3 linked regions of the Cricetulus griseus genome follow. The protein of the gene in region 3 interacts with the protein of the main gene of each other region in a pairwise test. Links are inferred from orthologs where the notes say so. Each region holds a gene or a part of one and is shown on either strand. Other genes may lie near its edges.

Region 1 (3,749 bases), on a different chromosome or scaffold from region 3:
TAGGCTAATGTTTAAAATGCAAATAAACTGGACATCTGTAGGACAGAACTTGTTCACCCAACTGTGAAGGCTGATACCTGTTTCCAAAAATCACAATAAATGCAGAATAAAGAGAAGTGTTTGCATGCAACACCTTTGAGTGAAACAGCATTGATCCCCACCATTCAAATCAGAGAAGGAAGGAAATCCAAAGAAGAAAAGGAAGGAAAGAAGAAGGGAGGGAAGGAAACAAAGAGGGGAGAGGGCAGGCTGGAAGGGAAGGGAGAGAGAGGGTGGGAGGGAGGGTGGCGGGAGGAGGAGGAGCAGGAAGGGAAAGAAGGGAGGGACTCCACCTTAAAATGCATCCTTTTAGATTTATAAGTAGACAGATTTAAAAGAATCAAAATAAAAGTAAAGCACAATTTTGTGTGTTTAAAGATTTAAGAGCCATTATCAAAAATAAGATACATTTTTTCAAGGTACAGAAATGTAATTACGATGGCTGAGAGCCCAGCAGCCTCTCAATGGCCGCATTGATGTCGCCTCCTGTTGCTATTAGGGCCTGCAAGTTTGCTTCACGATTTATGAACCCCATGGCGTTGAGCTGTTCCAGTTGCTGCTGAAATCTCATTTCTGCACTCGCCATCTGGGCAGGAGTTGGTCCTGCTCCTCCTCCTGCCAGAGCCTGCACCATCTGATGAATGAACTGCGGGCTGGGTAAAGTTTCCATTGTCGGACTGATGGTATCAGTAGCTGCACAGCTGCTCACAGTGGTTGCAGGGGGGACCCCAGTGCCGGTGGATCCAGGAGAGCTTGCAGGGCCAGTGGGTCCTATAGGCCCAATAGGGCCTATGGGGGTGAAAGGAACTATAGGACCCATGGGCCCTATGGGAGTGACTGGGCCCACAGGGGTTATGGTGGTTCCCAGGACTCCCACCCCCACACCTGGAGCGAAGCTTGGAATGAGGCCAGGTGCTTCAGTGGCTAGTGTCTGTAGCCCCTGCTGGATCTGCATTAACGCTTGCATCGCTCTCGGATTTGACATGGCCGCAAGCGTGTCTGGATTCTGCATCTGCTGCAGGAAATTCGGGAGCTGTGGACGCATCTGCTCTTGCAGCTGAGGATTTGAAGCAAACAGTGGGCTACTCATCATCATCTGGGCAGCCAAATCTGGATTCTGGCTCAGCGACTGCATCATGCTTCTCATGTAGGGTGCAGACAGCATATTCTGAATCAGCTGGGGATTTTCAGTTATCTGTTGCAGCAGGTTCTGCATTCCTGGTGTACTAAAGATGCTAGCAACATAATTAGCTGCCGCCATGGTGTTCCCGAAGGTGCTACTAGAGGAGCTACCGCCAGGCATAGTGCCACTGCTTGTGGTCGTGGTGTTGGTCGGAGAGCCCTGGGTAGCTGGCGTTGGTGCCCAAGGATTGGGCAGTGGATCCCGGTTTTCTGTGCGGGAAGGCTGGGTGCCCTCCCCTGAGGAACTGCTCCCCACCGTGGCAAAGGGGTTACCCCCAAACTGCTCCTGTGCGGCATTCAGCATGGGCTCTTGAATGTCAGTGTACATGCGCCGCAGAGCATTGTAGCCACCTGGGATGCTTTCGAGATTACTGAGAGCCAGGTCTTGATTTCTCATCATCTCTTGCATCATGGCAGGATTCCTGGCGATTTCGAGAGTCTGCCTCATTATATCTGGGTTGTTCAGTAGGTGACTGATCTCTGGGTTTCTCTGGATCAGTTGTTGCATCTGCGGATTGGCCATAATGAGCTGCCTCATCAGATCAGGATTCGAAAGCATGCTCTGAACAAAGGGATTTTCCATGATCTGGATCATCATCTCAGGGCTAGCCATGAGCTGCTGCTGCATATGGTTCTGAAGCTCAGTGAAGCTGGTCGAGTTCAGACCCAGGCTGCTAAGGCTAGCAAGTCCTCCCAGGGTCCCCGACGCAAACGGATTGTTATTCGTGAGAGAAGGTGTGGAGAGACTCCTGGGAGCCGTTGTCGACGCTGGCGCCGTTGGCGCCCCTGGCGCTGTTGCGGCCGTGGTGGTGGTGGTGGTCGTGCATGTTCCCGCAGTGGTGCTAGGCTGCGTGGTGGACTGGCTCTGAGGGCGGTTCTGGTTTTTGATGACAAGGTGAACAGTCAGTCCATCATGGATGCCATGCTGCATCAAGGTATCTTGATCTTTCAAGATTTTTCCGGCAAAAATCAGCACGAGCTGATCGATTTGCGATTTGAAGCGTTTAGAAATCGCTTCCTTAAACTGCTGGACGGTGCTATTCTCGGGCACCGCGAACTCCTCTTTCTCTTTGGGGGTCTTCACAGTGACTTTGATGATTTTGGGCTCGGCTGGCTCGGTGGCCTCGCCTTGGGCCGCAGCGGCAGGGCCGCGGGAGGGGCGCGGGGGGCCGCTGCTCTCGCCGTTCTCAGCCATGGCGGCCGCGGTGACGCAGGCTGGCAGGGAAGGCGCTGGCGAGCGAGAGGGCGCGAGGGAAAGAGGAAGGAAGGAGGCGCCGCAGCAGAGGACTGGGCGGCCCCGCGAGCAGTGCGGAACACAGTACCTCGGAGATGAATGGAGGCTGCAGCTCCCGGTAGTCGGATGCGCACAGGGTTTGGCGTAGGCCGCGGCCGAGCGCTGAGCGAGCAGGTCTCCAGGCCTTCTCCGCCGCCGCCTTGTGATCTGTCCGCGCGCACTCCCAGCAACTCCTGCAGCTGCGGTGCCCGCGCTCCCGCCCCGCCCCGCCCCGGCCCGGCCCCGCCCCCTGCTGACGCGGCGCCAGCCCAGCCACAGTCGCTCGGCCGAGTGCAAAACTCCTGGCCTGCAGAGGGGGGGAAAGGAGGGAGAGAGAAATAAACAAAGAGAGGGGGAAGAGAAGGAGGCTGGAAGAGAAAGCGAGGGGACCCGGGCGAGGCGAGGCGAGGCGAGGCGAGGCGAGGAGAGGGGGAAGGGAGGAGGCCGGGAGGAGGAAGAGGGAGGCAGCTTCTTTAGCAGCCCCTGAAAGACCAATGGAGAATGTGGGTTCGCAATCTGGGAGGCAGTGAAAGGATGAAAGCCTGAATTGAACCGATCCCATGCAAAGGACGAAAAATGAATAGTAAAGAACTCTGACAAAGCAAAAAGGGAAAACGAACACCCGGATGGGGGAAGGGCAGGCATGGCGGGAGCGAGCATTTTACAAAAGAAGCGAAAAAACGGCCAGCAGGCTTCTAAAATATGATTGTGCTCGCTATTAATCAAAGGGATTCAAATAAAAACAATGAGATTTTACTTCGACTTTATCATATTTGCAAAGATGAAAGAGAATGTTAAATCTTGTTGACCAGGAGCCGAGAAAATGCACTCTCATGCTAGTTGTAGTATGAATTGTAATACGGCAGTTTGAAAATACAAATGAACATTTTGAATATTTGCACCTTTGTTTAGAAATACCTAATCGATTCAAAAAAGCATATTATGATGTATATTAATAACGTAGCATTTAAAAACAGTGTTTAGATATTTTCAATGTGTGTGTAAAACATAGAATTACTCAAACATACTACGATAGTGCCATACAATAAAATAATCCCTGTATCTAAAAGATGGTGGCTAATTCATGTAATATTAAGTGTCTCTAAAAGTGTACATCAAAATGCACTGTAGTGACGAGAAAATAATAGATGGTATTTAATATGGGTTAATATTTTTTCTAAACAAATGGAAACAATACAGGCATGTAGATATTGATCAAAAAGCTAGTAGCCTGTGTGGAAAAGAAATCTGAAAG
Region 2 (3,749 bases), on a different chromosome or scaffold from region 3:
AGTTAAAATACAGCCCCTCCCATCAACCAGAAAACGTACATACCGAGCATATTAACAGTGGCTTAGCAAATGGCAGACGCCCCCCCACCTGTTTAGGAGACCCCCAATTTCAGGTAAGATCAGAGCATATATGTGCTACTCTATCATCAAAAGCCACCTTCAAGCTGTGACACAGACCTGTCATCGCTCAGCCTGCTGTCCCTTGCTGTGTATTCCAACACACTTGTTTTCTTAAAAAGCTCAACTTAATCCCAATGCAGAGTGACCTACACTTCACCACCTTTCCCTACAGTGAGAGGGTAAGTGTGAGTGTGAGTGTGAGTGTGAGTGTGTGTGAGTGTGTGTGTGCGTGAGTGCGTTGGGGAGAACACTCCAGATCCGGACCTAGAAGGTCCATGAAGAGCACTCCACTCGCAGAACCGTGAGTCAGGCCAGCTAACCTTCAGTGTGTGCACTCTGACCCCGAGTGGATTACCTTTTACCTAGCACTTTCTCCAGCCCGATCTGCTACACTTCCTGGATGAAAACTATCTGAGGAAACTGACTGACTGATGCTTAGGATACCCTGAATATAAAACCACTAGGGATCACTCGCCCCGAGACCAGACAGACCCATCTACATGGAGTTACATGCACACTTTGCGCAGCAGGGAGCGAGCACTCAGGGCCAACCCAAGCGCAGGCGCCCCCTGCGATGTCACACTGCAGTTTAGGTGCAGACTCCCCCTGCATGGCTTTTCTCCAAGTCACCATTTATTAAGTCGGCCCTAACGTCTTCTCCGCCAATCTCCTTTGCAGTTCAAGTTCCCTAGATCCCAATTTATTTCTGATCAACTTTTTTTTTTTTTCTTTCCTTGAACGGGGTCAAGAGCACGGTTCTCAACCACAGGGATCCCAGGAAATGAATTTCCATGACAGTCACTGCCCAATGCACCGCCACCACCCAAGGCCACCATCGCACCCTTTCCTTTAACCTTTCCAGAAATCGCTTTTTTGGGGGGTGGGGAGGGGTGGTGTGGTGTGGGGAGGGAGGGGGCGTTAAATCAATGAGAAGCATCCTCAACTGAAACAAGCGCCGGGGCCTGGCTAGGCCGAGTTAACCCTTTGCGGTCTGGAAACCTCACACCAGAAACGGCCCTGGGAAGTGATGTCAGCGCGGCCCCGGCGGCCCCACCCCCGCCGACCTCAGCCGCCCGGTTCCCCGCGGGAAGCACACGAAGAACCAGCATCTACACTGCGGGAGCCCTCGCCGCACCCACTTAACCCTCGCCTGCCCGGGGCGGGCGGGCGGGCGAGCGGGGGCGAGCCGAAACCGCGCCCCAGACTTTTTAAAGCCAGCGCCAGTCCTCGCTCGCGTCCGCGCCGCCCGCAGCCACCTCCCCTTCTTGGCTCCGCCCAGGCTGGCGCCTCCGCCGGTCCCCGGCTCGCTCGCTCGCCCTCTCTCTCTCTTTGTCATGGCGGAACTGTGTCAAGGAGCCCAACCCAACCCGAGCACCGCCGAGCCGAGAGGGAGGAGCGGTCGGGTCGGGTGGGGTGGGGTGGTGGAGGTGGGGGGGAGGAGGCGGCGGCGAGCGGCTCGCCCTACCCGGAGGGGGCCCCCCGATGCCAGCCAGCGGCGCCCGCACGAGCGGAACCGACGGCGGCCGACCCGCACCGGACACACCCCGCTCTCTCCCTCCCGGGGTCCCCCCTCCCGCCCCCGACAGCTGCGGAGGAGGAGGAGGGGGATGGGAGGGGCCGGGCCCCACCCAGACCGGCGCAGCCCCCGCTCTCCCCGAAGGATGCTCACCTCCCACCCGGCCGGAGACCCCCCTGCGTCCCCGGGGCGCCCAGGCCGAGCCCCTCCCCCAACCACCCACCCACCCACCGAGTGTGCGAGCGTGCGAGCGAGTGAGCCACCGAGAGGGACCCAGGAAGCTCAGCCCCGGGTCCCCGGCGGGAGGGCAAGCGGGAGGGCGAGCCGGCCCCACCCCGGAGACTCGCTCTCTCTCGCGCGCGCGCTACCTGGCTGCCCGCGCGGCGGGGGAGGGGCGGCGGGGGCGCCACGGCGGGGTGGGGGCCGCCTCACCTGCGCCACGGCCCCGGTCCCAGCCGCGGCGGAAGCGGGTGCCGGCGGGGGCGGATGGCGCTCGCCCGCTCGCCCGAGCTTCAGCCCTACCCCCCCCAAACCCGGGAGGGTCTCGCGCGTGGGCGCCTCCTCCGCCACCCCCACCCCCGGGGACACGGGACACGGGCGGACGGGGCGACCAGCACCCCGGCAGGGCCAGCAGCAAGCGGCCCGGGGGCGGCCGTGGGCGCTCGCCCGGGGCTCGGCGGGACGAGCCGCCGCCCGGGTCCAGGATCCTTGGGGACGCCCGCCGCGGCGGGGCGGGCGAGCGGCGGAGGGGCCAGCCCGGGAGGCTGCTCACCTGTGTCCGGAGTGGGTGGCGGCACACGGACCCGGTCGGCAGTGTCCCTGGGCGGCGGCGGCGGCGAGGCTGAGACTCTGTCCCTGATCTGGCTGCTCACAGGCTACAGCGGCTCCGCAGACACGGGGTTTCCTCCAATCACTAGCCCCGGCAGCAGGGGCACCACACGCACAATGACGTCAAACGCTGCTATGGCAACCGTTGATTGGTGCCCGGCGCAACCGCCGCTCCCCCGGCGCGCGCCCGCCCCGCCCACCCGCTCGCTTGCCCGCCCGAGGCGAGCTCAGGGAGAGCGCGTCCCCGACCCTGCCTCCTCCTCCTCCTCCTCCCGCGCGCTCGGCTCGCCCCCGCCGCCCCCGCGAGCCGCCCTCCTTCCTCCTTCCCTCCTCCCTCCCGCGCCGCCCCTGCGGCCCGCGGAAGGAAGCCGCTCCCTCCCCCCTACACCTCTACTGGCGGGCACATCCGGGACCTTTCGCGTCTTCCCCCCCCCCCACCCGCCCCTCCCCCTCCCGGCCGCCCCGGTAATGACGGCGGGCTCTGCGGCCGGGGCATTGTGATCAGAGCCCCGGTTGCGGGGCGGCAGCGGGCGTGGCCGCTTGCTAGCTCGCCCGCTCGCCCACCGCTGCAGTAAAGCGGCCTTAGACCTTTTAAGGCTCGGGCGAGCCGCCCGCTGTCCCTCCTGTCGCCCCGCACAGACCGTGACAGCCAGGGAGACAATGGGGGGTCTCCGGGAGGAGAGGGGAAGGGCTTGTGCGAGCTGGGGGGACACAGGCTCACACAGCGAGCCGATCTCCGGGCGCTGCACTGTTGCCCCCCCCCCCCCACACACACACACAGCCGGGCTTTGACGGGGAGGCTCGTTGTCTCCACTTAACGCTCTCAAAGAGCCTTTTAGGTCCTGGGAGCCACCTTGGGGATACTGGCTGCTCGCTCTCGGGGCCCCCCATCTGACAGTGGGAGGGGGGCCGCTCGCCCGAGCAGGGGCGGGAGCGCCTGGGCCCGGAAGAGGGGGTAGGAAGAGGGCGGAAATTGCAGGTGCCTGCACCCGCAAGGTCTCCACCCAGCAGACGGAAGCGGAGGGAGAAGCATTCTCAGCGTGAAGCGTGTGCCCTTGCGTCCTTTAAACGTGCGTCCTGAGTTGAAGCAAACGCCTTTACCCAGCTCCTGCTGGCTGGAAAAAAGAAAAGGGGGGAAAAAGTATTCAGCCCATAGCTCTCCAGAAGATTCCACGACAAGCTGTTCTTCCCCCAACTCAGTGTCTGTCTGTCGGATACATGGTCTGGTCATAAGCTTGCTCTACAAATGATCATTTCCCTGAAATGGCAGATAGGTAGCTCGAGA
Region 3 (3,453 bases):
AGAAAGATCTATGGTTTGATAGAATAAGAGGAGAAAAGATGAGAGAAGCAGCAAGTGAAAGTTGCTATTATTATCATATTTTACTCTGGTGGCCCTGGGAAGGGTAGAAAGGATAAAGATAGTCTTAAGCAACTAAAGGGAAGAACATCACAAAATGTAGCCTCAGAAAAACACTTCTCTCTCCAGGAGGTTATGTGGATTCTTGAGAAAAAAACTCCTTACATCAGTTTAAGTTTCAGTACAGCCACCTCACAGAAATAGGGAGTGATGCTGCCCAATTATAAGCATGTGCCACATGTTAATATGAACAAGTTCTCTGAAGCCTCATTTATAGGTTTCTTTTGATAATATATCTTCCTATACAGGGATGTATCTCCAAATAAAGCTAAGGTAATTGTAACTGGATTTGATCACACAATTAACTATAGACCACAATATATACAATCAGACACTCAATTCATTTGCTGCAGCTGCCAAGTCTCCAGAAAATTTTTGCTGCAGGCTGTGCTTTTTTTAAGCTTTAAGTTTGAAATGTTCTACAACACTAAAAGGTATACTTTTACTCATAAGATACTGTTCCTTGACATTCTAAGAAAGCAATAATGGAAAGGCAGCCATAATAACGTGGTAACATGCTGAGAAAAACTGATTATGAAGCAAATAAGAGTTTATTTTTTTCTTCTTAAAACTTTTTAGGGTATTTTTCCACTTTCTATTAAATATATTGATGTTACTTCTGTCTGATAATCTATATTATCACTTAAACTTTCACACAGATATAGTATCACAGCTACTTCAATACTGTAGCAACAATAAAACTTGAGAACTGAAGAACACAAATTTCTTCACAAATTTATTGTATAAAGTATATCCACTTAATTTGTCTTCTTATCACTTTCAAAATACATAAGAAGCTCAGTGGATGAAGAGGCCCTTTAAGATGACTATAGTCACATTTATGGGTCCTATAATCAAGGTAGCATACATACCACAACAGTGTTCTAAAGGCTATCCCAGGGGGAAAAAAAAAAAAAAAAAAAAACCACATTACCTTATCACAGTATAGAAAGCACTGTGTTCTTTTTCTCCCATTAAGGTATAGTTTTCTTTTTTTAAGCCACTGCTTTATTTAGCATTACAGTAAATAATAGTTCTGTTTTGATTACTACAAGAATGAAAAATGATTTGAAAAAAGCATTTCCAATGATTTGAAAGCTACATTTTCCCCTGCCAATTTTAAAATATAAGGTTGATTTGCACTAATTGTTAAAAGAATCAAATCACAAGCTCAACAAATTAGCTGTAGCTTGTAGTAAAATGATATACCAGTATGTCTCTCCTTAGTTAAAAATACATAATTCTTTTATTTTCTTATGCAACAAAAGAAATTAACATCACAGACATAGAAGACTAGGAATGGGAAACTACATTAAATATCCAGTAATTTAAGCCTACTTGTACTTTTCTACAGCACATGAATATTTAACACTTTTTGATGTAAAATTTAATTTGGGGGATATACAATGTAATTCTCAGGAGTAATAGTTCCATTCATTTGCAGGCCTGCTTACTGTGTGACTAAGTAACACAAGGCACAGTAGCCATCCTTTCTGTTATGCTGCAACACTGATCGAGTGCCTTGAAAAATAGCTGATTAAATAAGATGATGGCAACAGAAGGGGAGACTTTGGATTGTCTATTTAAAATCTAGGTAATAATAAAGATTCATTTTAAGAGCACTTTTACATGCTTGTTTATACAACAAACTTTGTAATTTTGTTGCAATAGGCTTGACTAACCTATCATTTGGCCAAATGCACTTTCCCCAGTAAACTTAAAACAACAAAAACAAAAACAACAACAACAAAAAATCCCTGTCCTTTCATATACTAAGAGGATTGGCTACTGAAACAGTTCATTGCAAGACACATGAAGACAACATACTGTGGCATGAGTTGTTTTAATTTGCTGTGCTGTTACTAAAGTTCTGAGGGCTGTGGTTCAAACATTCCAAGTTCTCCCTTCCATCTTTATTGATTCTCAAAATTTTGTACAGAAAACTCTTTGGGGGCTAGAACAGCAGTACTTGCACCATACTGTTTCTAAGACTTCAAGTTTCAAAAGCAAACTGATAGGGAAAAAAAGGAAAAAAAGAAAAAAGGTCCTGATTTGAGCTAGATTCAGGGACAAAAAAAGAAAAAAAAAAGAAAAGAAAAAAAAAAGCAAGAAAAAAGCACATACTTGAAGATTACATGGTCTACAAATGGTGGCAATGTTTTCCTTGCGAGAGTAGTTTTGTTGGTATATATATTTTAAATACTCAAAAAGGCTCAACCTCAAGCAGTAATAAACACAAGCAAAAGTGATTTAACCCTTAAAATAAATATTCAGAAAAACCTCTCTGTACATACAAGTGAAAGAATATGTAACACTTTCACGCAAAAAAATAATTATAATAATAATAAAGGATTTGTTCATATATGTAGCTGAAATCTGCTGTTCAGCCCACAATGTCCCCAATGAAGAAGGGAGGCACAGACATAGATGACTACTGTGGTTCACTATCTTACAGCCTTTTTGTACTGGGACACTATCACCACCAAATTATCCCTCTTACTATATTTATTATGTTTTTTTAAATGTTTTTCTTTTTTTTTTCTTTTTCTTTTTGTTTTTGCTTCTTTACAGCATGCCAAATCCTTTGGCGTATGTGATGGCCTTCAACAATCTCTCTTTAAGTTTTTCTTTGCTTGAATATTCCGGTAGTAAAAGGACATTAAAGCAAGTATGAGATGTAGGTAACCTAAATAGAGAGAAAAACAGGAAAATCATAAGTTGTAAGAAATATGCTCAGTGTGAAATACTCCTATTAGATGCTTATCTAGTTAAAATGGTTTATAATGAGAAACTACAGATTAGATAAATCATAAACAGTGTGCTGTTTAGCTACAAAGATCAGTTGGTCTTTAGCCTATAAAATAATGCTAACATGATGAAGGTGATAGTGATGACAGTAATATTTTGCATTTACTGAGTTTCTACTCTATGTTAGCTATTGCTTTAGATACTTACCTTTGTAGTTCATTTACATCTTCACACAACAAACATACCAAGATTACTAAACCCACTTAAAAGCTGAAGTCACTAAACAACTTAAAGTACAAAAACTATTCAAAACTATCATTAAAGATTTCAGAGTCTGCTCCTTTTCTTTTTTTTTCCCTTTCCCTTTCTTTCTTCTTCTTTTTTTTTTCCCAAGACTGAATAGAAATACAATTGGTGGGGCTGGACAGATGGCTCAGAGTTCAAGAGCATACGCTGCTCTTCCACAGGTCCTGAGTTCAATTCCCAGCAACCACATGGTGGCTCACCACAATCTGTAATGAGAGCTGGTGCCCTCTTCTGACTTTCATACATCCATGCAGGCAGGATACTATATACATAATAAACAAA

What was found.
Region 1: the proteins of Ube3a (region 3) and Ubqln2 interact in a two-hybrid assay, tested with the Homo sapiens proteins (2 studies listed by BioGRID and IntAct). The link is inferred for Cricetulus griseus from reciprocal best matches to the Homo sapiens genes UBE3A and UBQLN2.
Region 2: the proteins of Ube3a (region 3) and Ywhaz interact in a two-hybrid assay, tested with the Homo sapiens proteins (2 studies listed by BioGRID and IntAct, with this or other methods). The link is inferred for Cricetulus griseus from reciprocal best matches to the Homo sapiens genes UBE3A and YWHAZ.

The regions. Positions count from the first base shown.
Region 1 is NC_048604.1:111,414,607-111,418,355, reverse strand, and holds the start of Ubqln2 (ubiquilin-2), read right to left. Parts: upstream 2,690-3,749; 5' UTR 2,417-2,689; coding exon 473-2,416; 3' UTR 1-472. UniProt on the Homo sapiens protein: Plays an important role in the regulation of different protein degradation mechanisms and pathways including ubiquitin-proteasome system (UPS), autophagy and the endoplasmic reticulum-associated protein degradation (ERAD) pathway.
Region 2 is NC_048603.1:14,723,707-14,727,455, reverse strand, and holds the start of Ywhaz (14-3-3 protein zeta/delta), read right to left. Parts: upstream 2,549-3,749; 5' UTR 2,409-2,548; intron 1-2,408.
Region 3 is NC_048596.1:138,656,764-138,660,216, forward strand, and holds part of Ube3a (ubiquitin-protein ligase E3A), read right to left. Parts: intron 2,804-3,453; coding exon 2,683-2,803; 3' UTR 1-2,682. UniProt on the Homo sapiens protein: E3 ubiquitin-protein ligase which accepts ubiquitin from an E2 ubiquitin-conjugating enzyme in the form of a thioester and transfers it to its substrates.